4 linked regions of the Arabidopsis thaliana genome follow. The protein of the gene in region 3 interacts with the protein of the main gene of each other region in a pairwise test. Each region holds a gene or a part of one and is shown on either strand. Other genes may lie near its edges. The genes, in order: ATU2AF35A, AGL36, AT5G46710 and AT2G18090.

Evidence for each region.
Region 1: the proteins of AT5G46710 (region 3) and ATU2AF35A interact in a two-hybrid assay, tested with the Arabidopsis thaliana proteins (one large-scale study listed by BioGRID).
Region 2: the proteins of AT5G46710 (region 3) and AGL36 interact in a two-hybrid assay, tested with the Arabidopsis thaliana proteins (one large-scale study listed by BioGRID).
Region 4: the proteins of AT5G46710 (region 3) and AT2G18090 interact in a two-hybrid assay, tested with the Arabidopsis thaliana proteins (one large-scale study listed by BioGRID).

The regions. Positions count from the first base shown.
Region 1 is NC_003070.9:9,612,879-9,620,507, reverse strand, and holds ATU2AF35A (U2 snRNP auxiliary factor small subunit), read right to left. Parts: upstream 5,602-7,629; intron 5,372-5,601; 5' UTR 5,357-5,371; coding exon 4,466-5,356; 3' UTR 4,151-4,465; downstream 1-4,150. Other genes in the region: AT1G27640 (uncharacterized protein), read left to right, coding at 5,602-6,045; CYCT1;3 (cyclin T 1;3), read right to left, coding at 6,541-6,728, 6,971-7,116, 7,194-7,366, 7,448-7,582. UniProt on the Arabidopsis thaliana protein: Necessary for the splicing of pre-mRNA. Probably active at the 3' splice sites.
Region 2 is NC_003076.8:9,340,784-9,347,860, reverse strand, and holds AGL36 (AGAMOUS-like 36), read right to left. Parts: upstream 4,077-7,077; coding exon 2,976-4,076; 3' UTR 2,850-2,975; downstream 1-2,849. Other genes in the region: AT5G26640 (anaphase-promoting complex subunit 11 RING-H2 finger protein), read left to right, coding at 1-20. UniProt on the Arabidopsis thaliana protein: Probable transcription factor.
Region 3 is NC_003076.8:18,950,583-18,958,469, forward strand, and holds AT5G46710 (PLATZ transcription factor family protein), read right to left. Parts: upstream 4,111-7,887; 5' UTR 3,903-4,110; coding exon 3,840-3,902; intron 3,310-3,839; exon of another isoform or gene 3,157-3,309; coding exon of another isoform or gene 3,142-3,156; coding exon 2,962-3,141; intron 2,881-2,961; coding exon 2,662-2,880; coding exon of another isoform or gene 2,620-2,661; exon of another isoform or gene 2,476-2,619; coding exon 2,257-2,475; 3' UTR 2,021-2,256; downstream 1-2,020. Other genes in the region: TRN2 (Tetraspanin family protein), read left to right, coding at 453-950, 1,546-1,857.
Region 4 is NC_003071.7:7,861,202-7,870,802, forward strand, and holds AT2G18090 (PHD finger family protein / SWIB complex BAF60b domain-containing protein / GYF domain-containing protein), read left to right. Parts: upstream 1-2,992; 5' UTR 2,993-3,299; coding exon 3,300-3,589; intron 3,590-3,702; coding exon 3,703-3,782; intron 3,783-3,858; coding exon 3,859-4,046; intron 4,047-4,199; coding exon 4,200-6,116; 3' UTR 6,117-6,619; downstream 6,620-9,601. Other genes in the region: AT2G18100 (transmembrane/coiled-coil protein (DUF726)), read left to right, coding at 6,728-6,948, 7,042-7,123, 7,213-7,698, 7,881-8,049, 8,161-8,313, 8,429-8,526, 8,620-8,711, 8,792-8,862 and 4 more.

The sequences.
Region 1 (7,629 bases), on a different chromosome or scaffold from region 3:
GATCCAAGTAACAAAGTTTGGTTATGAGGTTACTCAGTTGGAAAGCCAACAACGAAACTCATTTTGTGTTGTTTAAATGGAGGCAGTTACGTATAGCTACTAGAGATGGAAATGATGATCTCCAAGGCTTTTTTTTTTTACTTTTTCCAAGTGGAATAATTGTTGAAGCTGCAGGAACCACCACCAAGGTCAGCTAGAAAAAATAAATAAATACCCAAAATAATTTACAAAGGAGTACATGACATGAAACCATTCATCACTCTTTGTCATGATGACGTCAAGTCCCTCCGGAAGAAGCTGAACTAAGTTACGATATACTGAAATGTGAAATCAATGTATATCATGTTTTAAATGCTTTAGTTTTCTGGCTTAATATTGATAAGTGACTTTAAAACTATGTGTTTTGAGTCAAAGGGTAATGAATTTACTTGAATTTTCTCTTTTCATTTTGATTAATTAAAGAGTTCTCCCTTGAATTAAAAAATTATGTTTCTCCGGCTAAACGATATTTCTAGATATCTGCCATGTATTGACTTATAAGCGTGTTTTAAGGTCGAAGTCACTATATCGGAACACTAGAGAAAGTCCGACATAATTTCAATTCCATAACCATCAGAGACATTCAATGAAAGGAGGGGATAACTATTACAATCAATAGTAAGTAGAGATAGAGCAAAAAAATTATGCAAGAGATAATAACTTGGCAAGGTGCTAGTTGATTGTCATTATTAGCATATAGAAGAGGCGGCGAACTTTTATTGGTTGTTACATAATATGTGTCGTGCAATGTAATTTGTGTTATTGGTTTTGGAAAGAACATGCTTCATATTCTGATGTTATGGTTGGCTGTTTTTTTTTTTTTTTGGTTGAAATGAACGCTTTTAGAAGAGCGAAGAACTCATTTTATACATAAATGATTCCTTATCTAGTGTGACTCAAAAGTGCAATAAGTTACGAAAATGAGTATTGTACTGTTGATAAAGCTGTCACCAATTCGATCGCATCTAAAAAGAATGTTTAATTAATTAACTAATTAATAGTGTGGAAAACAACTAACTTAATCGATCAATTAGTTAGTTCATAATAATTCACAAGTATAAAAGAAATGAAAAATAGATCAACCAGATATAAAAAGAGAGCAACAAGACTCACATCAGAAGAAAGGCACGTTGGAGAATGTGTTGAGATCAAAAAGAGTATGGGAAAAACTTTGTTTTCACTTTTTATGTTTCTTTCTCGTCTCTACTTGCACGCTCACATATCTCACCTTCTTTATATTCTTGTTATGTTTCTAATATTTAAAACAAATTTATGTATTCCAATATCTATTTTATTTTGTAGCAGTAATCTGGATCTAATTCGATTAATCTCGAAGATGAACGAACTCTTGTTGAACAAGCTTATCATGTACAATAACTCCTAACCCGAGCACGAATGGCCCATGCACAACTTAATTATTCGTCAAGAGAATCAAAAATAGAGTCTCTTCGAATTTACGTCCTGAAATTCTAGAGTGTCATCAAGCCCTATACCTAACTAACCACGCGGATTGTCAGAGTATCTACTTGCATCAATAAAATTTTTATTGTAATGTGTCTATTTGTATATTTGATTGTCCTTGGAATCATTATATGGAGCCAAACTAATAGATACAATATGCAAAATATAGAAACTAAGGTTGCACTAATTACGTCCATGGTCTCATTTATAACAAACTACCTGATGACCACTTAGATACACCATATGTACCGGAAGATTAAGAAATGATGGGCTCCCTCTATCCATTATCCAACTTGACCTTAGATCTTAAAAAACTATATTGTGTTAATCTATTATATTTTGTGTCTCTTTTTAAAAGTTCTGTAAGAAATTTAAGTATTAATTTCAAAAGTATAGTATTAGGTGTAGGAGCTAAATTTGTTTTACATCTGTTACCAATCAGGGTTCAATCATCCAATCGCTTTCATAACACATCACTTTATAAGTATAATTAACGAAGTCTTTGCTTCAAATTATTTATGATTTTATTAAACTATAAAATTGATAAATATAAATTAATATGTAGAGGAATATATAGAAAATAATATTTGAAGATTTAAGTAATAAATATCAATGGTATTAATTAGATGTAGTAATACTAATAGTAATGGTATATAAAGCAAAGTTTGTTTTCAGTTTTTGTTTGTCAATTAGTGTACACATCATTGAGTTGCTATTACTGGTTGGCACAAAAAAATTCGTGTGCTGATCATTTTTTCTTTTACTTGAAATTTATAACCAAAGTCTACTAGACCACCTAGGTGCCATGCTTCTCAACACTTGAAGCTTTGATCTTTACATTTACTTTTTCTCAATGTTTTGAACTTTTAATAATATATAACTCTACAATCTTCCTTTTTTGTATTATTATAACTGCTTTGATTCATTCTCTTTTACTTAATGGGATACTCATTTGATTCATATAACATAAGCACAAAAAAGAGATGAAGAGAAATATTTATATCTGTCTACTATGACGAGTTTTCAATTAAACTACCAAAACATAACAAAATTGCATCCTTTGACAGGAAAGGCGATGCTAAGGCTATGTACTGACAATGGTTCATGATTAAATTGATTTCAAAAGAAATTAAAGATAGATAGTCGTAGTTGGTCAATCATAAATTATTTTTATGTTACGAAAAAATGAAAAGATAATCTCTTTTTGTTGGGGGTCAAATAGAAAAAAGTAGAGAACAAAGGCCTTAAAAGGAGGGTCCTAAAAAGTATGGGAAAGCATTATTATTTATTTTAAAGTTGTCTAAGAAGAGGACAAAGGCTTTAGAGCAGGGGAATATATGCTTTCTCAAATTTAGGGCATCACTGTCCAACAGACTTTCCCCATTCCTCATCTTTATATTTTCCTAACAATAACAAATTTAAGATCATATATTTCATTTTAGTATCATTATAATTCGATTTTCAGTTGCATAATGTATATAGAAACGCAGCAAGCTAGACACGTGCATGTGTTGTATTTGAGATTTTGAGGTATTATTATTACATGGAATTAATGTGACTTTATAACGCTGTTCAACAATCCATCTTTCACTATGTAGCTACGATCTTTCAGATTTCTAATTTTTGAACTTTGATATCTTGTATATTTTTGATGTAAGAAAACTTTTAAAAAGTTAACAAGATATCGTATGGGTTTTATTACTATAATATATCCACTCAAGCGAAGACGGCAAAGACTTCTCCACGTGGCCAATCTATTGAACTACTAATCTCCATAACTGAGAATTCATATGATAAAATTCCGTAAATATATATATATATATATATTATGTTAATTCAGACTATTCAGTCAATGTAAAGTAAGAATAAACAATGACATGTTTTGTTTGATGCTTTAGAAATGACACCGCCGTGTCAATGGGATGGGCTGTGGGTGTTGATGCTAGATCGGACGGATGTATTGGGGTGGTGTGACGGTGGTAGCGATATTTTAATGCATTGTAATTGATTAATTCTGAGTTTTTTAACTAAACATATATTTGTGAACATGTGTGGGACAAAAAAAAAAGTAATTAATTTATTGTGATTAGTGGTTTGACTCGTCATCACAATTAGAACAATGGTTTGGCCGTTTGGGAGTTATGAGTTATATGACCATTTGAATATTCTGTCCAGAAGAACCACAACGATCACTGAAGAGGGACTCGACGACGCCTACAAGCCAAAATGACCTTCATGATTTTATGGTTTAGGGTTGATGTATATTGCATTGTCGACTTCTGTTATATATTCCGCTATATTATACATCTTTTTACTCATATGGAGTATTTTATGCATATATGTATTCATTGCGTGAATTAGACAAACAGCTTATGAAGTAATTTTGGAAAGTATATAGGTCTAGTAAGCTACATATTTGGCATGACCAATTGGAAGCCAGTATGTTTGAAAAATGGCAACCAAGACTAACCCATTCGATAACTGGTTTAGAAAAAGACTTAACTTCTGACGTGTTTGGAACACAAATCAATGCAATCAAAGGCCCAAAGTGTTTGCCCCTTATCTTTGTCTAAAATTCTGAGGTGCTTTGACCCGAATTAGTGCCACAACTGAACCATGACACAGAAACTCGTTAGTATTCCCAAGCATTGAAGAACAATAGACAACTTCGAATTAAACTAGAACTCTTTTAAGTTTTAACCAACAGAAGATAGTACAAAGTTCTAAAGAACACTGGTGAAAATCAATAACAAGGGGACAGAGCGGTTTTTCCTAATCAAAACTACAAGAAAGTAACCCCAAACATTTTATAATCTAAAGAAGTTGATTCCACTCATTTCAAGTTCCAAATTAGAACAGCCAAATGAAAAATCCATCACCAGATTTTACCGATTTCAGAATAAACGCAGAGAAGCAGACGCAGAAACCACATAGCAGCAATTGTGATTTGAGTAAACAACTGTTTTTATGCTCCTCCCTCTTCCTTCTCCTCCCGTTCTCTGTTCCATTGCTCAATCCTTGCCCTCCTCTCCTCACTTCCTTCCCTCCCGCCACCCGGGCTCCCTCCTCGTTTAGGGCTTGCTTGTCTCCTACCCCTTGAACCGTCCCTCTCTTGCCTCTCCGACCTCTCACTGCTCCTTTTTCCACTTCCATGACGGTAAAACTCGCGATCTCTGTCCCGATGACTGAATTCCCTGTGAGAAGGATCACGTCGGTCATTATCTCTCTTGTTCCTGGGGCTAATACTCCTGCTTCTGCTCCTGCTTCTACTTCCTCTGCGGTATGATCGCCGATATCTCCCAAAGAGTTTTCTCCTTAGTTCCCTCGAAACAAGCTTCACATGCATGAAATTACAGTACCCACCACGGTTGCAGTTGTTTTCTTCATACTGCCTACACGTGGCTTCGCGGAAATCCGTCACAGGAGAGAAATCAGCAATGATGGGACGTCCTGAATAGAACCTACCTTGCAGAGCCTGCAAAGCAGCTGCAGCCTGATCCTCTTCCTTAAACTGAACATATACGTTGCCAATCATGTGGTCAGCAAGGTTGTCACAAATGTTGAGGCTCTCTATCTCGCCAAACTTTCCAAGCTCCTCAAAAAGATCCTCAAAGAAATCCTCAAAGTGCTCCTGAATCTTACGCGGGTCGAGTGGTTGGCCCTGAGCGTCAACACCAGGGGTAATCATGTCAGGCCTTTGGTACATGTTTGAAAGAAGGAGTGTTGGGGAGATGGTAGGACGGTTGTGAAGACGCGAGCACCGGTCACCATGACGGCAAGCGCCAATCTTGAAGTAGAAAGGGCAATTCACTCTGTCTTTCTCAGTACCAAAGATTGAAGCCAAATGCTCCGCCATGGCAGAATTTCCACCCTGAGTTTAAGAAATCAGTCATTGAACAAGATATTTAGCAACATATAGACATAAATTGAAAAGAGATTGGTAGATATCAAAAACATCAACAAGAAACTAAATTATGTTACGAAAGCGAAAAGATTGAGCAACTATTGAAGATAAAAGGCAGAGATCTTAGTCAGCTATTGAATTCAATGGAAAAAAGAACAAAGAATCACACATAGATATAACCAAATAACCAGAGACATATGGATATAAAATCGGAAACAGAGCAATACAAAAGAAAAGCAGAGATAGAGAAACACACAAAGGAGCCAAATAAACACAGAGACGAAGCAGTGCTCCAAAATAGAGCTGGGAGGCACAGAGACCGAGCCGTAATAGATCACAAAAGCGAAGAAAGAGAGAGAGAAAGCGTACAGAATGTTACAGAGATGAGTGGGATTGAGAGATCTGAGGGTGAGTGGTCGCCGCCGGTGGAAGGAATTACCGACGAGGAGCTGCCGTCTCACTCGCCGATGGATGATCTAGGGTTTGCTTTGTTCGCGAGTTGGGGGAGAAAGACAGAGAGACAGAGAATGGGATCTCCTGACATAAGGATTTATATTTTTAATCCGATAAAAAAGATAATAATAATGGAAACTAGAATCCGGTTTGGTCTAGAATGGAAACCAAGCGGTTTTGGTTCTTGACCGGTTTATACGATCGGTATAAGCTAGGTGTAGTTAATTGAACCGGTTAATTACTTATCCGATCGGTATAAGCTTGATCATATGATGATTGTGTTCGTCTCAAGTCTCAACTCAACACAGACCTAATAGCACTTCATCAAAAACCAAATTACTTAACAATGAGAGAATTAGTCAAAATCAAAACAACTTTAAACTTTTTAAAGAAACCAAAAACATAGATTCCAGATATACAAACGATATAAAGTCAGCTAGTATTATAACATGTGAATGGGACACTTCTATACATAATCTCTCTCTATCGAGAACAGAGACCAAGAATCTCGAGAGAATCCACTTTGGTCATACATGAGACGCTTAACTTAGACAGAAGCACCTCACTCGGATCTCTATATAATGCTACACTGCCTCTCTCATGAGTCTCTACGGAAATCTTTTATTGCTAAACCAACTCAAGACTCTAAGAGAGATTACATCTTCATGCTGCTCAACAATGGCTCACCAGATGCCAGCCTGTCTATAGGACTGCAAAGGGTAGCTGTGAAACGGATAAGCTCTAGCCATATGGACCGGCTTTACGGCTGCAGGTATTGCCCAACTTAACTCTCTTCTTGGAGGTGGAGGTGGAGGTGGCATATTCCTCCTTCTGTCCACTTCTATCAGTGTGCACATCTCCTGGATTACCTCTGTCACCATAATGAAAACATCCAATTATTTTTAATCAACCGCTAAAATCAATAGCAGCACATCTCTTCGTTCAGGCCACTACCTAATTCCAAACTCAATATGTGCACAGGGTAAGAACCTAACATGAGCTGGAGCTACAGTACCACATATTCCTAGCGCTAACATTATAGAAACACTACATCTCACTTGATCAAATGACTGCAATAATACCAGAGGAAAAAATAGAGTTTGAACAGCAAACCTTTTAATAGCTTAGTTGTAACTCCAAACTCCAACCACCAATCTCTCCTGCTGCCTACTTTCGCATTCTGAAACGTAGCAGCTAGGTGCACAGTGGCTGTTGCAATAACATGGGGTTTGTACTGCAAGCATAGTGTGGTTCGAATCCTACACACAATGCATAATAAGATTCAAACTCAATGTAGGGGAAAAATCGGGCAGATATTATTAACAAGGGTCTTTACCAGTCATGCACAAAATTCCATGCAGCTGTTGCAAGGTCAGGCCAAGCGTTCAGTCTATTCAAAGCCGCAGCCAGAGGTTTGTAGGGAAGTTCAATGTCTAAATGGAAAGCACTTGTGCTCAGCAGAAGACTTTCCCCGGACAAAATAATTTCTTTAAATTCATGATAACACTCCTACAGGCAGAGCAACATGTAATAAATTAGCAAAATGCACAGTGCGAATTTACCAATACATAGATGTATGTATACACTTACAGTTTGATGGATTCTAATTGAGGCAGAAGGATCCCACTCATAAATTATTTCATAAGACGCTACAACGACACTGGACAGTTGACATGGCTCATCTTCAGCTTTGCAAGCGAGGAACAGACTGGAAGTCGCTATTGTCTGCAAAATCACCGAGTGAGAAACCGAAGTGGAAATATTTAGCAGCA
Region 2 (7,077 bases), 9.6 Mb from region 3:
GAAATATAAAGAGTAACTAGAGTGGGAAGAGAGAGATTTTATATTGCGCCTTGATTAGACATCTAGCTTTGTATCCACTTTATAGAGATGTAATAAATCATTAATCAGAGTTAAGTTCGACCTTTGTATGAATATTAATGGAAGCAACTACAAATAGCAACAAAAATGTAATAGAGATTTTGGTTCATGACATGTGGCTAAAGAAAAGAAAGATAATTTGTTTCATGGATATATTGTTCTTTTTAATATTTAGCACCCAATTTCAATTTTTTTCGTTTTAACATCCGACTAATTTTGAGAATATACATGCTCCTTTTAAGAAAAATTAGTGAATCTATAACAGTAAAAAATTAGAAATTAATAAAGCTTAACCTCTATAAATTAATAATATCGAAATTATGATATTTCAATATTTATACAGTTATTAATTTATTAATTAAATGATCTTAAACACTTATTAGGGATCAAAGATTTTAATCTATCGAGTATTAATTTATATAATTATTACTACACCCAAATAACCAAGTGCCGCATGCTTAGAGTTTACATACTGTAAAAATAAAATCTTGAGTTGTACCAAATTTATATAATTAGTTCTTAATTTAACGTAGCCATTTGAGTTTCGGCCCAAGTGGTCAGAGGAAAGGTGTGATAGTTAACTTTACCAAATTATTATTTTTGGATATTATGAGGTGTTTTGGGCCTTAATCACTTGGCTAATCTCTTTAGGGTGAGTGTAGGATCGATTAGCCCACTCACCGAGTTTTTTAATGAGTACTTAAATCACGCTCCTCTCCCTTACCTCTGCCATATCTTTTAGAGAGGGAAAGCTTCTTTTTATGACATTGATCAGATTGTAAAATAGATTTCTTTGTTTTGTCTCTTCCAAATCATATCTTAGATCTATAGCTTAGGTTTAGTGACTTGTTGTTGTTCATCTCTGTATTTGTTTCGGACAATAAAATTCCAACTAAGATCGGATCTGTTTTGTTCTCTTCTTTCTACATACATAAACTCAAATCGCCGCAGCTATTGGTTAGATCCTCTTTGTTCACCGTCAGCTCAACTCTTCTTATATATATACGAGAGTAATATCTCCACATGTTTATCCATGGATATAGGCCTATTACGGCCAAAGGCGAAGCTTCCTACTATAGGAGCAGATTGAGATTATGAAGATTTGTTTTTTCTCGATCTACTTCAAGATGGATTCGATGGGGTTCTCTCGACTTTAGCAACGGGCAGCGCTGTAGAAGAGGAGCGGTGGTGGATCTGAAGTCTGGCGGCGGAGCTGCGCTGATCGTGGATTTGGCTAGCTACGTTTGTGTCATCTCATCTCCTTCTCGCGTGTGGACACGTATACCGCACGTAACACTTTTTTAATCTCGTCCTTATCTTTAAATTTTAGTAGGATAAATAGACTTCAATTTAAATTGAAGTTGTAAACGCTGGTGGTTTGGGCTTTTTTCATCATCTATATAACTCAATGGGCTTTTCATTTTTATGAAAATGATCTTGTGGACAAAAAAAATGAAAAAATAAAAATAATGAGACCATAAATCATAGCACTATTTGCAACTAAACCTAATTAAATTTACTAATAATTTTATAACAAAATACAAACAAAAATTTATCAAATTATTACCCTCGATTTTTTAACATAATTTAAAATAACACGAGATGATTAATATTTGCACAAGCAAACAAACATGTAATGAAAACCCAGAAAAACTAAATCTTCACAATATGCAGGAGCAGGCTATATAAAAGACTAATGATATATTTGTTTTGACATTAAGAAAACAGTTAGATTTTATGCTGAATATTATCACATACACATATATACTGTAATCAATGCTGTGATGGTGTGTAGATGTATTTTTTGCAAGTTTTTTCTTATCAAAAGATATTTTTTTCCTAAAACAGTATTTAGGTGATTTACACAGCTCTCTAGTATTATCTTATATAGTTATACATTTTTGTTATAATGGAAAGACTAAAAACTACCCACACTTTTTTTCTTTCTACATTTTTCTTCACAAAATAAAGTCATGGAAAGTCATGAAAATTAGGAACCAATAACACCCCCTTAGAGTCTAACTGGTGCAAAATTTGGAAGAACAAATTTTCTACCTAATTTTTTTGAGCCCAAAAGAATGGGAACAATGTTTAAAAAATTGACCTAGGCACTGATCGATATAGGCTCAAGGCTTCTATCGAAAGCCTAACTAGCGCCTAACGATTTTTTTAACATTGAATAAGAGTAGTTCTTTTTTTTTTGTTATCAAATAATTTTTTTCGAAAAGAATAAGAGATTATTGTTGCTTTTGCCATTTTTCATAGAATTTTTTTGAAATTGTAATTTTTACTAAAATCTTATGGATATGCCATTTTCTAACACTAAAAAAAGTATGTATTTCCGATTTTTTTGGTAAAAATACGTAGTTTATACAAAATATTAAATCCTAAGAACAAGCACAACCGACTAAACCAAAACATAACGAATAAAACACATGTTAAATCATATTTTCGTAGTGTGAAAAAGGCAAAATCTACAAACTATTCAGAAAAGGACAAAATCCACAGATACCATCCCAAAAAATGGCAAATCGATAATTGATTCAAAGAATAATAGTTCTTACTTTAAATTGCTGGGGAAAACAATTATTCTCTATGTATGGGTCCTAAAAGAATTCAATTGAAAATTTCCGTCTAAATATTGTACCAGTCACATCTTAAATTTTCGAAATAAAATTCTACAATTAAAGTTTCCCACACTACGGTGAGCAAATACATTACTTAATAATCTTTTTTTGGGGGCAAAACATTACTTAATAATCAAAATACATAATTAAGTTAAAAAGAGATCCTTTAACCATTATTAATAAACAACATTAGTTTTTGTCTTTCGAAATGAAGAAAACACAAATACAAACAATTGAACACTTAGACTAGTTCTTCTCCCTCTTTTGTGATTAGAGATTATTGTTGATGTAAGGATCATAGACACCGGTGGTGGAAGGCATGTAACTGGTGGAAGCATGATCAACGGCTGGTAGTTGATTGGATGGTAGTTGATGGTAGTTGTAGCAGTTTCCGTCCACGAAAGGAATGCTTTCACGCCCTCCAACATGATTCATATGTTGTTCCACCATCGGATTCATGAATGATTGTTGTTGATTCAGATACTGATTCGAATTCAGATTCAAATTCAGATTCAAATTTATGTTGTAGAATTCTCGTTGAATCTGATTAAACAGATTATTAGGAGCCTGGTATTGAACCTGATTCATATTCTGATTTTGAAAAAAATCACAAACGTTAGTAGGAACAAGGTGTTGAAACGGTTCATGCAGATTTTGACTCATATTCATATTTTCATATGGAATATGATCAAAAAATCTACTGGAAGCAGTTACCGCAGTTGCGTCCGCATCAAGAAAAGGAGTCATATCGCCCGTAAGAACATGAGGATTGGTAGCATTAAGAGTATCTACAACCCCAGTTGTAGCATGAATAGGAGAGTCGGAAAATGACTCATCACCAATTTCGTCAACACCAATTCTAGTAGGAAAAGGAGAGACGGAAGACAACAACGACTCACCATTTTCTTTAATGGACTCGATCCTTCCGTTAAGCTGATCGAGATATAGATTTATACAAGATTGCAAATCTTGAAGGTCTTTTGCATCATAATGATACTGGGACATTTTGCCTTCAACACAATCAAACATAAATCGTCTAACCTGTAACTCTCGGTTCTCAGCAGCCAGGTTCTTTAGTTGCTCTTTTGCTTTGGTAATCCTCTCCATAAGGTAAGTCTCTTGATCCATCATCTTCTTGGTTCGGGCTGTCGGCGGCATCTCCAGAAACCTTGAAGCCACCTTTTTAGCACCTTCCCTTGACGGCCATGACTCTGGAACCGGTATGAATGGACTGTAGATGAGAGCACAAGCTTGGACACCACACAGAGTTGACAACTCGTGGAGTTTCTTAAAAATCCCGTCTTTCCTCTTTATGAAGGATGTTTTCCTTGATCTTTCATTAGCTATCAAAGATAGCTTCACCTTCTTCATCCCCATCAATTTGTTTTTTTTTTTTGTTTTGTGTGGTTTGTTTAATTTGTTTGCTCAAAGGATGTTTATATAGCAAAGAAAGGTGATTCTATAGACACTAGGATTCTTATCACTTTGGTGGACTAATTAATTCTAAATAACATCCAGGAAATCTCTTATCAATTAATTGACCAGGTAATTCATTATTATCTATATAAAAATATTTTTTCTTATCCAAAGTTTGGTACGTCTGATCCTAAATAATATCTGATGACAAAAAAAAGAAAAAAATCTATCCATGTAATACGAGGGGGCATGTAATATAATATTTTGTATTTCTAAGTTTTGTTTTTATTTTGGCGAATTAATTTCTCTTACTCTCATTGTTTCTTTTTACTAAGAATAATTTCTAGCTTACTTTGTTCTTAAAATATGAAGTTTTGCAATAGTTTTAAGTGATTGTACTTTTAAAATACAGTAATATATTGTCAATGTATATAGAATTGTGGTAAGCTAGAAATTACTCTAAAGTTTGTTATCTAAAGTAAATTTCAGAAAGTTTGTTATCTACAGTAATTTAAAGATGTACTCTGAATCATACAAATAAATTTTTAGAATGGGCAAACAACTTGGAAAATATGCAAAGTACATCTCACAGAAACGCCAAAAACTTTGAATAATTGGTATGAATGCCCTTTCAACACAATCCCTTTTCAGTATTGCCCTTTCTTATTTGTTATTTTCATTTATACCCTTTTTTAATTTTTAATGACTATTTACCCCTATTTAAAATATGTTTTAGGTAAAAAAATGAAATATTGATTTTTCCCGCCTATAATATTCTGAAAAAAATTTTCCGCCAAAAAATTTCAAAAAAACATTTTCTGCCATAATATTTGTTTTAAAAAAGATTTTTCCCGCAAAAAACAAATTTCGCAGGAAATAGATTTACAATGGATTTTAATAGATTTTTAAAATGTGTAAAAGGGTTTTAAAATATTTATAAGGGATTTTAAGAGATTTTTATAAAGTGTAAAAGGTTTTAAAAAGATTTACAAAGGATTTTAAAAGATTTTTATAGGGTTTTAAAAGATTTACAAGTGATTTTAAAAGATTTGAAAAGGGTTTTAAAAGATTTACATGTGTTTTTAAAGATTAACAAAGATTTTTAAAATAATTTTCTAGAACTTTAAAATGGTTCAAAAATTATTAAAGGGTTTACATGAGATTTTAAAAGATTTTTAATGGTTTACAAGGGTTTTTAAAACATTTTGTAAGGGGTTCATAAGAGTTTAAAATGGTTCAAAAATTATTAAGGGTTTTTAAAAGATTTTTATATGGTTTTTAAATAGTTTTCAAGGGTTTTAAAGGATTTAACAAGGATTTTTACAACATTTACAAATGTTTTTAAAATCCTTGTAAATCTTTTAAACACTCTTGTAAATCTTTTAAAATTATTGTAAAAGGTTTTAAAATGTAAAACAAAAGGTTTTAAAACGGGTTTTTAAAGTATTTACATATATATTTAAAATTTTTATAAAGATTTTAATAGGTTTTAAAATGATTTACAAGGGTTTTTAACAAATTTACAAAGCTTTTAAAAACCTTTACAAAGATTTTTAAATGCATGTTTTTAGCTGGAAAAACATTTGTTACAGAGAAAAAAAAATGGCGGGAAAAAAATTTGGCGGAAAAAAAAATATTTTGGTAGAATTTTTTTTTGTCAGGGAAAAAATAAATTCGGCGGGAAAATTTCAGTTCATAAATTACATGTTTCTCATTAGATGTGGGTAATTTGTTTGTTTTGCTCAAGAGAAAGAGTATTTTTAAAAATGGACTACATATAAGGGTAAAATCAAGAGTTTAATACATTAATATGACTACATGTATTTATTTATTAATAATGACATATAAAAAATTATTTATGAAAATTATTTTTATTTAGAAAATATATGCATAATTTGGGTAAAATCAAGAGTTTAATACATAAATATGATTTTTGTCTTTTTTTTTATTTGTAAAATTATAATTTATAAAATCATGTGGATATTATATCTTTTGGGGCATTGACCCGATATTATATATTTTTCATTGCACTTTTAGAAATAAATTTTACCAGCTAATAATGAAGAGTAATTTAGCTGGCATTACCCTATTTTTGATCTTATTAATATCCCTAAAATAAATAGCTTTATGTAGACATGAGAGAATTGGTAAGAAAATATGATCCAATCATAGCTTTGGAACCCACATTTCAGAATTTTGGAATGCTTTTATTAATTATCAAGATAAAAGCATACAATTTCAATAATATAATATCTTAGATTGTAGAAAAGTTTTGGTAGAGGTTTGTTATCCGCTTGAAAAGAGATTTGTGTAAATGTCAAATTGAAAACTATTTGAAAGAACGAATTCTGTTTTTTAAGAGTTGCGATTTTTGCGAACCCAAGTTTAGATGTATTAAATAAATAATTTAGAAGTACATATATGAATTTTTGGTGTTTTCTTAACTTATTAACAAACAATTATTTGTTCTAAAATAATTAAGATTGTGAATAGTGACCTAGAAGACTATTATATTATAAGAAATATAATTAAAATTCTTTACTTTAATATGATGATTATTAGGCTATTATGACTTTATAAGCAACGTTATAGAGTTGATAAAATGAGAATGAAGACATGGTCTATGTTTTTAACTTCGAGCGTTATGATTAGGGGTGTCAAAATGGGTCAGAATTCATGGGTCAACTCAACTCAACTCAACCCATGATTCCTAATTAGTTGAAATTTTTGACTCAAATGAGTTGATGGGTCAAATGAGTTATTGGGTCAATTGGTTTGATGAGTAAAATGAGTTGGGTTGTAATGGTTAATGGTTTCAATGGTTTACCCAATTAACCCATCAAATTTTGTAAAATTGAATTAAACCAAATAAAATCTCTAAACCAATATCAATTTAAGTTTAACCAACACATCTAAACCAATTTAAGAAAATCAATATTTTTCCAAATTTCTTAAA
Region 3 (7,887 bases):
ATTTTCTTATGATTAACTCATTAAATCAACATTATCTTGTACTCACATTTGGTAATCAAAATTGAAAACCAATACACTAATTTTAAAATATACTTTCAAAAGTGTAATAATATATAGCTTTGATTGTTTTCTCTTTTAAGATAGATAAAGTCAATATACCTAATTTAAGAAATGATAAATCCACCTTTTTCTCAAATAGTTACTTCTTTTTCATATAAGCTTTATTCAGTTTCACACATGTAAATCTGTCTCTCTCTCTCAATTATTACCATTACCCTAAATCCCATCAAACCAAAAACATATTTATAAAACATTAATCACTTTTCACACATGTGAATCTTTTTCTTTTTCTGTCTCTCTTTAAGTTCAATTCTATTTCTCTCTCTATTTCAAACCAAACAGATTTCAAGAACACAAAAACAGAGTTAAAACTCTCATCTCTCCCAAAAAAGATGCCTTTAAGCAACAATGTAATTGGTTGCATAAACTTCATCACCGTCCTCCTCTCCATTCCGGTCATCGGCGCCGGAATCTGGCTAGCCATAGGAACAGTAAACTCATGCGTCAAGCTTCTTCAATGGCCAGTAATAATCCTCGGAGTCTTAATCCTCTTAGTGGGTCTCGCTGGTTTCATTGGAGGGTTTTGGAGAATCACATGGCTTCTTGTTGTTTACTTAATCGCCATGCTTATTCTCATTGTACTTTTGGGTTGCCTTGTCGGATTTATTTACATGGTTACCATAAGAGGCTCTGGTCATCCAGAACCAAGTAGAGCTTATCTTGAGTATAGTCTTCAAGATTTCTCTGGTTGGTTACGTAGAAGAGTTCAGAGATCTTATAAATGGGAAAGGATTCGTACTTGTTTGAGTACAACTACCATTTGCCCTGAACTAAATCAGAGATACACTTTGGCTCAAGATTTCTTCAATGCTCATCTTGATCCCATTCAAGTAAGTATCCTCTTCCCATTTTATTCAAATACATTTTCAATTTTTCTCTGTTGTTTTGTTGCTTGTAATTGTTAATTAGTTTTTGCATTAAGTTTGTTAATTAGTGGAAGAAAATTAGGGTGTAAAATGAATATGAGAAAGTATGGGGTGAAAATTTAATGGCTATGAAAAGAAAAGGGGTGGTAATGAAATGTAGATAGAATTGGTGCTTTGCTTGTTAGGTTTGTCGCTTAAAAGACTCAGAAATATATTCTTTTGATTAGAAAAAAAAGCTGAAAATTCAGTTGAAGATTATTACATCGAGTTCAAATTTAGGGTGTAAATTGAATAGATAAAAAGTACAGGGGGAAATCGAATGGCCATGAAAAGAACAGGTGGATTGGTAATGAAATTATAAATTAGAAATGATTCTTAGCTTATTATAGGCTTTGTGGGAACCAAAAACTGGAAAAGTTTAACCTTTTAATAAAATAATATAAAACGTCCCAACTTTCTAGATTCTTCCACTATGTGCACTTAATCAGTCACGCCGAACTACTTTTTTGGCCCCAATATTTTATATTATTTAAATTTAACCCCATTTCTTTACTTTCAGTCTGGTTGCTGCAAGCCCCCAACAAAATGTGGATTCACATTTGTTAATCCTACTTATTGGATAAGTCCCATAGATATGTCTGCTGATATGGATTGTCTAAATTGGAGCAATGACCAAAACACTTTGTGTTACACTTGTGATTCTTGTAAAGCCGGCTTGCTCGCAAATATTAAGGTAGATTGGTTAAAAGCGGATATCTTTCTACTCTTGGCGCTTATCGGATTGATTATCGTCTACATTATCGGGTGCTGCGCATTCCGTAATGCGGAAACTGAGGATATTTTCAGGAAGTACAAGCAGGGTTATACTTGATCAAGATGAGAAGTTTAGTGGCAAAACTGCGAGGAATTTTAATATTTACTGGATTCCTGTATTTTAGTTTCTCTACGTTTTGGCCCCTGTAGTATGTTTTTGTGTGAACTACCTGAACATTCGTTGTAACTGGAAGATTATGTTGTATATCTATCTTTGATTTGGGTTTGTGAAACTTAACTAATTATCTATTTTTGTCATATAATCTAATCAAAAACAAAATTTAGAACAAGGAAATAGTCATAAAAACACCATAAACCACTCACTGTCTAGTCTCATTGCATCACACCAAAACTTTACAAGAAGATATTGTATATATATATATACACTTACTAGTTGTTTGACTAATCCATAGCACTACGTAACACAAGCTTCTTCTTCTTTTTCTTGATCACAATCTCAACTAAATGGAGCTCGGTGAGGAATTCCCTTCCTTAGTCGCTTTCGCAGAGAACGAGGAGGAAATTGAGGTGTAGGTGGACTGAGACTCTGCAGATTTGAATTACCATTCTCTGCTCCAGAACTGTTATTCTCCACTCCAGAACTGTTGTTTGAATTATCTGAGTCATTCGTTGTATGCTTCACTCTCTTCTGGAAGACTCCAGATGTTCCTGCAACCTTTTGATTCAATCACCACAAAAACACAGATAAGAAGTTTATCAGAAGAAAGACTCTTTCCAATATTTTAGCAAGTCAAAAGCTTCAAACTTTTCTACTGTAATTAACTAGAAGTAACCACAAAACAAGGGAGGTAATGGATGCTTAACGTGTGAAGATAATTGGAGTGTAAGTAGGTAAATGTACCTTGCAGCCAATAGAGCAGAAGCGGAAGCAGTTTTCGGCAAGGCCACGATAACAGACCATGCAGGCATTAGTAAAACCTTTACCAGGCTTAGACTGAGGCCTCTCATTCAAGAACAAAACCTTTGAGCTATTGATCACATATGTCTGAATGCTTGATATGTCTAAGTATTTCTGTATCTCATCGACCTTTGTCACATTATGATAAGATGATATCCTTATCTGCAGCAAACCAACAACTTCTTAACATTCAAAACCTGAATTAAACAATACGAGAACTTTGGATTCAGAGATGAAACACACCTGAATGGTACGATGATTCTCGTGTTCAGAAAGACAGAGAGAACAAAACGAGTCATTGGTACAGTCTAAGCAATACATTTTGCATTCGGTTCTAGGTAAGTGTCCATGAAACTTGCATTGAGCAAAAAAGTGTTGGTTTAGTAAAGGTTTGAGCCATATAGGCCACTGATTCTCTCCTTCCTGCAAACACAACATAACTCATGAGCCATTGTCCCAAAAGAACTCAAAAAACAAAAAAAAAAACAGTTGGCTTTTTAACCTACCAGAGACACCATTGTCTTATACATTATCAAAAAAGTCTCCTCCTTTACATAGACTTGAGGAGACTCTAATGGTTTATTTTATAATCTTGCAACCAAAGATAATAATGAATCCACAAATTCGTCTTGCAGAATATATTCTGTTTTTTATAAATTTTTATAAAAACAGAAGCAAATTTGAAGGGCGATAAGTACGGAATCGAATATTAAGCCGTGAATCTAGTTCGATAAAGATCCTAATTTTTTATCACAAGATTCTTCTTCTTCTTCAACATTTTCCCCCAATTTAAAACCCTAATCTAACAACTACATTATTCAAGCATTGTTCTTTGTGACATTAGAAAATTAAGTATTGTTCTTTACACCAAAACAGAGCATTTTCAATAAGTACTCGAATTTGACCATCTGACAACAAAAATTAGGGAAAATCCACAAAACTCTCTTGTTTCTAGTGGAAAATCTCAATTCAATCAAAACCCATATCTTAGAATCGAAAAATAAGGAGTAGAAGATTCGTATGAACACAAAGGGCATACAATGTAAACAGAGGATATAACAATGAGAAAACAGAGTTTCAACAATGTGATAATGTAGAAAAGGGTTTATGGTTAGACTTACCATGAATCTTCTGTTCTTAGGTTTGATTTCTCGATTTGGGTTCTCGTAATCTTCAATCGCCATTTCAAAATGCAGTAAAAGACCCAACCTTTTTTGAGTCAGCACCAAAACTTTTTTACCTAAAAAGGAGGGTTTTAGAGAGATAAAGGGTTTAAGAAAGTGAAAGAGAGAGAGATTGGTTTTCTTGCAGAGAAAGAGTTTTAGAGAGAAGAAGACGAAGCGAAAAGCAATGAGAAAGAGTCCTACTTATCCTACCAATGTCGACAATGTATAATATTTCCGAACCTAATCCCGAACCAGCCCCGAGCCTAAGAAGAAGCGTTGGGTTCAAGGAACCCTCTTGGAATTTTCTAATTTTATTTGATTATTTCCTTTTTTTTGGTATTTTAAAAATATCTTTCTGTCCTTCTTTGGTCTTATCTCTCTCTCTTTCACTATTATTTTTCCACCAAAAATATTAATCAATTTCGTCAAATTTTATTCCTTTTTTGGTTTTTCTTTTCACAAAAAGTATGTATTATAAACTATTATATAGTCATCACATTAATTGGTTGTGAGAGACTTATAACTATTTCCATTTTCCATTGCTGAAAAGTTCTGATATTTTAATATATTTTTAAAAAAGTATATTTATTGTGTTTAGAAAGTTATTGCTCCATTATTGCAATTTGATATCTCATATCTACCATTTGATTTAGTGTTAAAATCAAAATTTGACAAAAGGTCTTCAATTTACAAAAACTAGATTTTAGCATTTTATTAAAAATATATATTTTTATCATTCGCCATATCAATAAATTCTCGTAAAATCAAAACACTATGTCTCATGCATAAACTTAGTCGGTTCAGTTTATTTAGATCGGTGTAATCAATTTTTTGGTTTATTCGGGTTAAAAATTTGTCACCGAAATAGAAAATAGTTGAAATTGGTTAAAAAAAAAACAAAAACTATCGGTACAGAAAATATATGAATTTGGTTTGCAGCAGAAATATGAGAAAACATAGCAAAAAAGATTTACAAGGCCAAATACTCTACAAACTGGTCTGTTTTAATTGCTACAGTCTCGGGTCAGTGGCAAGATCGAATGGAGAGTTTCATTGCTCGTTATGTTTTCCATGCTACGATGTATATGATATGGCGAAAAAGACCAAGAGTAAAAACCAAGAGTTTTTCAGTGTGGAAGAAGATATTGCTATTTATCAATTTGCTGTTTCTTACTTTGCACTACCTTGTTTCTATTTTTAGGTATTGTTCTATCGGTTGTAATGAATCTTTTGCTGGAGAAAAAAATTCTTTAGTGGGAAGAGAAACAAATCATTCTGACAATGGCGCAAAATAGTATTGACCAATATACGCTTCTTACTTCAGCTGAATTAGTATTTTTGAACCAAAAAAATATATGCTGAATTAATATCATCAACCTTCACGTTTTGATTTGATCTTTCTTTTCCGTATTTTTATTTAGTTATTTTATTTTGAAAATCAACAGCTAATTATGTAAAAGAGCGTATACTATATTACTAGATAGTTTTTCCGCACTATGTACAAGATAAAATGATTATTAAATAAATGTATTATAGTAAATTAGAACATTTATGGATTATTATTTAAAATCTGAAGTTTATTTGTGTATAATGTAATGTAATATACCTTTTTATTTTATCTGAACCAACAATTTTTTACATAGAAATAATTGTTACCATACATTGATTATTATTAATATCTTTGTTAACATATATTTTTATGTTTATATAAAAAAATGAAGGTAGTTATATATTAAGTTCTGAAATATTAGTTGCTTAATTATTAGGTTGTTTTAGTTAGAGTTTAGTTTTTAATTATTTACTAATTTTAATTAGAAATTGTTTTTTATTTTTATGTTGTTGAGATATTTATATCTAATAATAATGAAAAATTTTGTAAGTAAATTAAGAAATAATGGATAATGAATCAAGTTTGTTAAGAATTGCTCTAATTGCGATACGTCAATATGACATCTGCGTACATACCAAGATAGCTAAAAGTTAATTTCTTAAGTGCATTTCTCTATTAATATATAGGGGATATTATTATTTGATTATATCTTTTGATCAAAACGTTATTATATTTCCTCACCAAAAAAAAAACGTTATTATAATTTCTTAACAAAAAAAAAATAAGAAGCGTATTAATTCAGCAATATTATATTTTTTATTTAGTTATTACACGTTATTATATTGTTAGTTGTAACATTTTTCTCTTAATGATATCCAATCTGACTATAACAAAATTAATTATCCGGTAACCTAACCTCTCACACAAATGTGACAGTGATGCAAAGCTATCTTTGTATAAGTTAATTCCTATTACATCATTTATGCTTTTATACACAAAAATGCGTATTTAATGACTTTTGTTATATGCTTACTCATAAGTATGAGTTGGAAAGAATGTGATGCAAACAACGGACCGATGTTGTATCCTTGTATGCATAGTACGTTGAGCTAGAGCTACAAAGAGAGATAAGCTTCTTAATTGGGAGAATTTAACCTAATACATTTATGTTTTGCTCACTAATTTAATCAAATCAGGAGGAGATTACTGCACAAATCTAGGTTTAAAGATGAGTGATTACGCAATACCCTTTTGTGTTTAGTGTTTGATTTTTGTTGATGTTTCTATTTAAATTCATTAATTAGGAAAGCTAAGTTGCGAAGTCAATACTAACTATTCCTATCATGCATCACCTGAAAGGGAAGTTGTGTTTAAACTAATACCTTCATTGATGTAATACAATTTTAATAACTAATTTTGTATGTTGCAATCAAATTTTGTAGGTGGCAATTTAATATTCTTGCTAAAGAAACTAATTTTCTAGGTTGCAACCAAAACAAACCAACCTGAAAACATTGATTAGGAAAATAGCTAAAGTTATGTTCTGTTTCATTTTCATTTTTGCTAAACTAATTAAAAAAGAGAGAAATAAGGAAAAACAAAATCAAGTTTATGAAAACGTTTGGTTAATATGAATTATGGATAACAATAAATTATAAAATAAATGATATACTTAAAAACAAGAAGGTAAAAAATATGAATTTAAGATTGTATTTTAATTTTCATGGTTTTTGTATCCTATGTTAAAAGCTAACAAAACTATTATCGAGCATAATAACAAAATATAATGGATAAATGGACTGGCTTTGGCTTATAGAAAAAAATCTAGATACCGTACATAGGATATACAATATTGAAATAAAAGTGAAGCAATGAGACACGGCACGCCATATCTGACCCAGAAATATCCATCCTTTCCCACACACTTTTGTATTATTTTGTTTTATTACCTTATGGAACCAATCCAAATTATTGCCTCCGCAACTTTTAATTTTAATACTTTTTATAACCATACAATGAACCGAAGAAATGGACTTAGTGTAACATAAATTCAGCATCAAATCAATGTAATTTTCTACTTCAATCAGTTAATGAAGATTTTTTTTGCTAAATTTAGTGAAACTATAATATGTGAAGCAAACCAACCGGTCCAGTGAACCGGCATTGTGTATTGTTGTTGCTATTTCCGGCTTTCAATGTTATGACCGTTGACTTACTATTACTGTTTTTGGGGTCAGTGTTGACTTACACCATTCACATTTCTCACGTCTTGTGTACGGATCACATCTTTTTTTGCACGGCATGTTTTTTTTTCTGCGCAAAGATAATTTAAAACACACGAGAGGAGAGTGTGTAAATGGTAGGGTTTTAATTTCATGCGTTCAAAGCGGTCCAAAATTCACCTAAACGTTTCTTTGTCGTGTTTCAAAAAAGTGTGGAAATGCAACACCACTATTCTTTGGTTCGGCTAAAATGCCTCTACATTTTAAAAGATTTTTTTTGTGTGCATATGGGCATTGGGCATAGCTGGGTAAAAAAATGTAGTAAGAATTTTATGGATATTATAACGTTGAATCAACTAAATATTTTACTTTTTTATCGATTATTTATTAGTTGAAGAAAATATATATATATATATATATATACTTTTTTGGCTGAACGAAAAATTGTTGT
Region 4 (9,601 bases), on a different chromosome or scaffold from region 3:
ATTTTACAAATTTTGTAATTTTTTACAAAAATGTGATCTAAAAGGTAGTTTTTCTATACAATCAATAATTTTTCTAAAAATTATTACGAGTAGAAAACCATTATTAGATTTAAAAACAAAAAAAAACTTTTTTATACGTAGTAAAATTATTAGAATTTAATTTTACAAAGAACTAATATAAATTAAAATAAAACAATACGAAAGTCATATTTTACTAAGCTTTACATAATATATATTCATAAATATAAATATATATATTCATAAATTTATACAGTTATTAATTTAAAATATTGATGGGACCATATATTTACATAGAATTTTCAAAAATTTTATTATCTTATTAATTTATCGATTTGTATCAATTTTTACACTAGTCCCAACTCGGAACCAGAAAAATTTATTAATTTATAGAAGTTATTAATTTATCGAATATTAATTTATAGAGGTTATACTGTATTTCTCTTTTATTTGGGTTGTATTTCTTCTTTTTTTACTGAGTTTGAGATTTAATTTTAATAAAAATTATCAGTTTGATAAAAAAAAACTAAAAATATAATTTTCTTTATAAACTAATAAAATTAAGTTTCTCATTCTAGCTAAAAGGCTTAGCTTAATATTATTATGAATATTATTCATCTTTCCTCTTTCAAAAAACATATTTTTCATCTTGATTATCATCGGTTGCAACCAAAACGAAAGGCTAAGTTTCATATTCATTTTACTCCCAAACCAAAACAAATAGAGGTAAATAAATTTTTCGTATTTCGTACTGGAGCTTTAATGTTAATTTTACCATTTGTTTTCACCCAAAAAAAACCACCTGAATTTCTTGAACAAATTCACAAGGAAATTAAATTTGTTTTCTGGGTTTTAATTTGTAACAAAATATCACCTGGTTTTATTAAACTAGTTCCATTAGTTAAAATTAAAAATTGCCGGTATTGTTTTGTTAAATATTTTATTTTGATAAAATCCTCTGATCTCTATCATTCGAAGTCAAAGCTGTTTTGTTCACGTAAAACTGCATGTGTGATCCTATATATTGTATATTGATAAATACGTTTAACAATGACAATCTAGTGAGATAGCTCATGTCACATCGACCTATGATCAATGGATTACTTCAGTTTGATAATATGTTTGTATGTGATCACGAATTATATATTATATACCAATCGATTTTTCATTGTTTTATGTACTATAATTTGATTTCAGCTCACTACATATAATATTTAAACGTGACATGTTCATCTTTTTTCGTCGTCGATCGACATATCAACTATAAGATTAGTCGGTTGTACGTATAAATCTTGACCTTTTACCATGGATTTGTCCTATAAAAGCTTACTAGAGACTAGAGACCAGAACGCATTAATATTATTAGGTCTATCTTCTATCACTTCATAGTGTTTCTTTAACACTCATGTTTTGCAAGTGTCGTTTTGTACTATTGGAAAAGATTATTGTTATAAAAAAAAAAATGAAACAAAACTCTAAAAAATCAGTTAATCTTAGTTATAAAACATTATCCTGCTAGAAATCATTGCAACTTTAATAAAGTATTGAGTCTTGAATCGTTATGTCCACTTCGTTTATTTTATATAAAAGTTTGTCAACTAATTAATAGCTGATTTTTTTTTTCTTTTAAGAGAAAGAAGATCTCGAAATGAGAATTAAAGATAAGATATATGGTTAGGTAGCGAGTAGAAGACCAAAGCAAGAAACTACGACCACGACATCTTGCACATAAGAAAAAAAAAAAGTAGTTCAATTTCATTTTCGCTTTGGTCCACTTTATTATTTAACAAAAAATAATATCTAATAAATTACATTAATATAACAGTCCGTGTTAGACTAAGACACGAAGCCTCCCCCACTAAATCGACGCAAATAAAAATAAACAAATGGTGGGGTTAAGAGTTTAATTCGAGCTGTGGAATTTTTTTATAAATATACAAAAATAATAATATTTAAAATAATATATATTACGATAACAAATTTTTATGTCAATCAATTATATTTTAAGAATCTTCTAAAATCAAATATTATTGAACTAATAATTTGAATAATAATTTTAATTCCACTATTATTGAAAATATTCATATCATTAGTTTTTAAGGGTGTATAGTGAAAAAATTCCTCAATTTCAAATATGTTAATACAAATTTCCCTTTTTAAAAATTATCATGAAATTGGACAAACTATATTTATATTGAAAAAGATATATAAACTTATACAACACAAATTGTAAACAAAAATAACATGATGTTCTTCAATAAAATTATAAATCATCAAACCTAAACTCTAAAATTGTCAAAGTAAAAAACCTAAATTGACGAATTCTAATTTATTATAGCGAAATTCTCTGATGTTTGTATGATGTCGAAGTTGATTATGAGAGATTTTGTAAAATTTTGTGTTTTAATTTTAACCATAGTTTATCTAATTTTTACGACAATGTAGAAAGACAGGATTAAGATATTTGAAAAATTGAAGTTTTTTTTTATAAAATATATAATTGAATAATTTCTTATAGAATTTTAGAAAAAAATTTTAGATAAAATTAAAAAACACAAATGTAATTCTTTTATGTAGAATTTGGGGAACCAGACTACAACAAATCATAAATTTCTCTAAATTTACCTAAAATCATATTAAAAATTAATAAATCATTATGAATCTTAAATTACTTAAAATATAAATTTGAAAATACTCCTCTAACTCAGAGATCAATTTTTTCTAATGCCTCGTGATTTTTTTGCATCTTGTAGCTTAGTCACCTATATATATTTTTAGTGGTAACAAGATTCTCTGTTAAAAAAATAATAAAAATTAAAAATAATAATAGTTTATTTTATGGGAAAAGACGCGAGTGGCTCCCACCAGCCTCAACTTTGCCCACGTGGAACCAGCCATATGCGCGGCGTTTAGACAACAAAAAAAAAGCGTGTTGTTTCTTTCTCTCTCTAGAAAGTCAAAAAAAGGAGACAGACAACCAAACACTGCCTTGTCACATCTCTCTCTCTCTTGCTTTTGGCGAGTAACGAGTAAGTCCATTTTCCATGTGCCCACTGTGTCTTCTCTCCTTACACGCCACCATCTCCTCCACCTCCTCCTCCCTCCCTTCTCCAATTCCCAATTCTCCTCCAAACCCTAGGGTTAGGGTTTCCACGATTGCTTCACCTTCCCTTCTTTTTTTAAAACCTCAGATCTTCCGCTTCCTCGTTCTTGTCTTTTTGTTGAGCTGAGAAGCAAAAAAAAAGTGTTCTTTGGCTTCACGAGGAGCCAACAACGAATCGATGCCGGAAATCGATCTTATGAGAGTCGATCATTGTGTTTCCGATGTTAAATTAGATGATTCTTCTTCTTCTCCTCCGGGATTCTTCGATGGTGGTGGTGTTCCGTTAGATTCGGATGTGAAGTTAGACGAAGAAGATTCCGATTCTTTGAAGAAGAGAGGTAGACGTGGTCGTCCGCCGAGAATTTTAGCTAAAGCTTCTTCGCCTCCGATTTCGAGGAAGAGAAGAGAAGATGAAGATGTTTGCTTTGTTTGCTTCGATGGTGGTAGTCTTGTTCTCTGCGATCGTAGGTTAGTGAAGTTTTGAGCTTAGACAAGTTACTCTCCCAGCTCCATTACATTCCTACTTGTAAAAATAGAAACTTTTACTTGTGACTGATGATGATTCTTTCTTAATTTGTCAGGGGATGTCCAAAGGCTTATCACCCAGCTTGTGTTAAGCGTACTGAAGCATTCTTCAGATCGAGATCTAAATGGAATTGTGGTAAGTTGTTCAATTTTTATCTGTTTTCTCTTCTTTGAGATGGTTCATAGTGATGAGGATGGTTTTTTGGTTTCAGGTTGGCACATATGTACTACTTGTCAAAAGGATTCGTTCTACATGTGTTATACTTGTCCGTATTCAGTTTGTAAGAGGTGTGTTAGAAGCTCAGAGTATGTAGTTGTAAGGGAGAACAAAGGATTCTGTGGAATTTGTATGAAGACTATAATGCTTATTGAGAATGCAGCTGAAGCTAACAAAGAAAAGGTATGAGAATCCTGTCTACATTTTGTTACTTTCTCTTACTCGCAGTACTACAAGGTTATTTGTGGAACTTGAGGTCTGTTCTTGTAATGTCGCTTTGTTTTTTTAATGTGGATTCTTTCTTCTAGCTAAATGTATTACATGTACATTTTCTAGGTTCAGGTTGATTTTGATGATCAAGGCAGCTGGGAGTATCTTTTTAAGATTTACTGGGTTTCTCTTAAAGAAAAGCTAGGTTTATCGTTAGATGATCTTACCAAAGCAAAAAATCCATGGAAATCTTCTTCTTCTACTGCCGCTAAGCGAAGAACTACTAGTCGGGTTCATGAAAAGGATGATGGAAATTCTCCTGGGGTTATGAAAATACGTCGTGCTAAAGTAAGGAAAATGGATGCTGTTTCTGTGAGTAATTTGGGTCCTTCTTTGGATTCAAACTGTTCTTTGGGTGACAGACTTCCACAATTGACTAGTGCTGCTACTTGGGCAACCAATGAGCTTTTGGACTTTGTGGGGTATATGAAAAACGGTGATATTTCTGTCTTATCAAAGTATGATGTCCAAACTCTCGTGCTAGAGTATGTGAGACGGAATAATCTACAAAACTCTCCTCAGAATTCTGAAATAATGTGTGACTCCAAGCTTATGAGATTGTTTGGAAAGGAGCGAGTGGACAACTTGGAAATGTTAAAGCTTCTTGATTCTCACTTCATCGATCAAGTTAGGTCTCCAGTCACAGATAATTCAGCCGGAGGAGTCACTGAAACTATGTCTTACCAGGTTAATGCGGGCAGAAGCTGTGATAGGTTAAATACATCTGAACAGCATCAAGAAGGGGAATCACAGCAATTGAACGGGCACAGTATTCAAGTTAGACCTTCCAGTTCTGATAGCAGAAACCATGCAGTTGTAAAACCTGACACAAGTGCCACTCTGTCCAATAAGCCAATTGATGGTTTGGATACAAATATGGTATGGTTATATGGAGATCCAGATGGGAAGATTCATGGACCATTTTCGTTATATAACCTGCGACAATGGAATTCAAGCGGGCATTTCCCACCAGAGCTGAGAATATGGAGGTTGGGTGAACAGCAACACAGCTCCATACTTTTGACTGACGCATTAAATGGGCAGTTCCATAAAACAGGGTTATTACAGAATCATTCTATCCCCAAGCAGGAAGTGACAGCTACTATAGCTAACGATCAAAACAGGTCTGTGGCTGTTCCTAAAATAGAGAGTAGAATACTTGACTTCAGCCCCAACTCAGTGTGCACTGACCAGAGTGTTATTTCTAGCAGTAACAGTGTCATCACAAGGAGCTCGGATGTGAGTAACAAAAGCGGAAACAATTGTAGCCACGCCGTGCCATTGGATTTTTCTCTTTCTAATGAAAGGGATACTGTGGGTTTTATCTCTCTCTGGGACAAAAGAAAAGTTGAAAGTTCTTTGCTTGTACAAAGCCCAATAAGCTGTTCACTCTCGCTGGCTACATTACCTAGAAACTCAAACTGCTCTCTGCCACCACATGAAAGATGGAGTGCTGGTCAGACAGATGGAAACAGTGCAGCAACGACTGCTTGCAATCAAAACGGTAGTCTTAGCGGCTCAGCTGAGAAACAAGTCACGGCTACAGTCCAGTCATGTGGACAGAACTGGAATGCTGCAACTCCAAGCAGTGCTTCAAATGTGTGGGATTCGAACTCGGGTTTGACGTCTTTCCCAGACAATCAAGAAATAGACTTTTTAGATCTCTTTAGTCCAACTTTCAAATTCAACTTTGCATCTACTACCACTGATTGGCAACCCATTGTGGCTGGACCTGACGAATGCGACGAATCAGTCTCAGATCTTTTGGCAGAAGTGGAAGCCATGGAGTCCCAAAAACGTCTTCCTTCTCCAACTTCGACATTCCGTGGTCCTGAAGAATTATTAATCCGGCACTCAATAAACGATAGCTTCAGTCCCGCAGAAGGACATAGCCCAGCACTAGATGTAAGCAAAGGTGACTCCATGAGCTCCACAAACGATCTTCAAATGCATTCACGATCTAACAGCACCGTGCATTTTTAGTCGTGGGCTCGGGTTCACATAGAGAGAAATCATAACCTGGGGCACAGGTTACCATAGATCATCCAATGTCCTAGATTCGTCTGATCGATGGTGGACTATGCCCTCTTTCTTCTCTTTTTTTTTGCAGGATTATTACAGAACATAAATAAATGGCAGAATCATCAGCAAAAATGAAAAAAAACGAGTGGTGCATATGTAGAAGATGTTTCTTCGCGGTATTTTTGACTGCACCCATTGTTTTCTTCAGTATTTAGGTTTTGTAACGTTGTCCTGTGTTAAGATTTGCACAGACATACCCAACTTCTGTATCTTTTTTTTTTACATTGTTTGTACTTAGGAACAAGTATAAAAATGGGAAGAAATTGTTGTCCATGGATGTAATCAAAACATTTGTAGGGATCATATCATCTTATTATTCTATATATATGATAATGATAGTGTAACGTTTCATTCTTTTTGTTTTGAATGTTTCAAATCTATTTATATCATGACAAGTGTAGGCTCCAGTTTATTCTACTTGTTTTTGGAAAATGAGACGAACTCTATTGATCGTTTCTGGATTTGGAAACTTTTTGTTGTTTCTTCGATTTCGTTTTTGTTGATCTGAGTTGATGGTGGAAGCTACGTCAAATTTGACGCCGTCGCAGAGATACGCGGCAAGCGCTTTGTTTGCAATCGCGCTTAACCAAGCGCAGATCAGCCAGTCAAAGCCATTGGGAATCCCGGCCACCGGAAGTACCGGAGAGCCAATCAGCAGCGACAGTGATCCTATCTCCGATGAGGCGGATCTCTGGGTCCACGAAGTTTCCGGCCTCCTCCGTCCTGTTCTCAGGTGATCTTGAAATCATCTGGAATAGTCATGTTCATATGCGTCTCTGTGTGTGTAATGTATACATTTTGAGCTGTCTCTGTAATTTGCTTTCAGATGTCTTCAGATTGATTCATCAGCTTGGCATGGCCTTGAAGAGATAGCTGCTTCTACTCAGGCTAAGGATCACATCGGTGCGGTATGATTAATTTCTCTCCGTATTTTGAAATTTCGTTGTGAATGTTGAGGAGCTCTTCTTTATTGGATGTTACTTTTGGTTTATTGTAGTTTATCAAGTTACTCTCAGAGGATGTGAGTGATGATGATGATGATTCTAGTGAAATGGTGGAGAAAGAGACCGCCTTAGCTAAAGCTGCTGATGCTATGGATCAAAACATTCGAAGCAGCTCTCTATCTGTGGAATCTAAGATGGAGAAACATGTGGAATTCGAAAACGAATGCCGCGACAAGTATTCTGTTCCCGAGGCACAGTCTGGTGCTGAGGTTAAGGAAACGGAGAGCCACGGGGAGGGTGAAATTAGAGATGGAGGCCACAATCTTGGGATTGTTGAACATGAGAAACCTGTTGGGGAAGTAGCATTGCTTAGCCATGAGAGAAAGATAAATGTTCTTTACGAGCTACTATCTGCTTGCTTGGCAGATAAACATGAGGAGAATGAGATATGTACACGGCGTAGGAAAGGCTATGATGCGCGTCACCATGTTGCTCTGCGGTTACTTGCTACTTGGTTTGACTTTCAGTGGATTAAAATGGTCTGTTTGCTTCATTCATTCAAATTATTTTGTAAATTTTATGCTACCACATAGCATAGCAACCCTATAGTTACATGTTAGCTATCTTGTTGAGGATTTAGGATCTGATGACATTGGGATATTTAGGATTCTCTGTTTTGTGCATTTGGATTGACCTGAGAATCAATTTCTGTATTTTCTAGGAAGCAGTTGAGACAATGTCTGCATGCTCTGCCATGGCATTGCAAAAGTCAAGTGGAAATAAGGAAGAAGAGTCTTTGTCACCAAATAGTGAATGGGCTAAGTGGAAACGTGGAGGCATAGTTGGAGCGGCTGCTTTAACAGGGGGTACATTGATGGCCATCACTGGTGGTATGATGTCTTCTAACTGTTAATATCTCTTCCAACGTTTAGAAAATTAAGAGTATGTGTTTGGAAAATGCTAATTCTTAATCTGTTTTGATTACATATTATGTGAAACAGGATTGGCTGCTCCAGCAATAGCTGCAGGGTTCGGTGCATTGGCTCCAACTCTAGGCACAATAGTTCCGGTAATTGGAGCCAGTGGGTTTGCTGCAGCTGCTGAGGCTGCCGGAACTGTTGCTGGTTCTGTTGCTGTTGCAGCATCTTTTGGAGGTAAATAAAAAGTAGAATCAGTTTTAGATTCCTTTAAGAAATAAAATGAATCAAAGTGATGATAATTGTATAGTTCTTAGTCTTCTGTTTTGTTTCTACATGTGTTCATGAATAGCTGCTGGAGCTGGGCTCACTGGGACGAAGATGGCTAGGAGAACTGGTGACATTGAAGAGTTTGAATTCAAAGCTATTGGAGAAAATCATAATCAAGGAGTTAGTTTTAAATTCCTGCTGTTTCATGTTGAAATCTCTTTGCTCTGCATTGATCTCTTTGTTCTTTCTTTATTTTTCTTGTTGGTGTAATAGCGATTAGCGGTGGAGATCTTAGTTGCTGGCTTTGTTTTAAAGGAAGAAGACTTTGTAAAACCCTGGGAAGGGTTAACTAGCAACCTAGAAAGGTATTAAAATGAATTGTTCTTGTGTATATTTTTTGTGACTATATCATAAAATCCATATGTTTGCTATAATACCTTCTTAGGTACACGGTGCAATGGGAATCCGAGAATATTATTGCAGTGAGCACTGCAATTCAGGATTGGCTTACTTCAAGTAATAATATATAGTTTTATCCAATACGTGTAACCATGTAAATCTATCTTTTTGCTATTGCTCTAAGAATAGATAGTAACATTGACATGAACTTGTTGCAGGAGTTGCTATGGAGTTGATGAGACAAGGTGCAATGCGCACCGTACTAAACTCGCTTTTAGCAGCAATGGTTTGGCCGGCAACAATCCTTGTAGCTGCTGATTTTATAGATAGTAGATGGAGTATTGCTATTGACAGGTAAAATGAAAATATTTGATGAAACTGAAATGCCAAATGTGATGAAACCAGTACTGCAAGTAAGTTTATGTGCTATTATTTTCGTATTATCTTATTTCAGGTCAGACAAAGCAGGGAAGCTTCTTGCTGAAGCGCTTCGAAAAGGGTTGCAAGGAAATAGGTATAATTATTGGATAAATTCCATCATATATCTTTATGATAGAAAGTTGTGCAATTAGTATTTTACATCAGCATGTTGATTCTCTTACATTGGAAAACTTGTGAGAAATTCAGACCTGTGACTCTGGTTGGTTTTTCGCTTGGTGCACGTGTTGTCTTTAAGTGCCTCCAGACTCTGGCAGAGACTGAAAAGAATGGTATTTCTCCACTCAATATTTATCTTTGCTTTAGAATTGACAATTGATTCTTGTCTTTAACACATTTTTCACGGTAGCTGAAATTGTGGAAAGAGTTGTTCTTCTTGGAGCACCAATTTCAATCAAGAATGAGAATTGGCGAGACG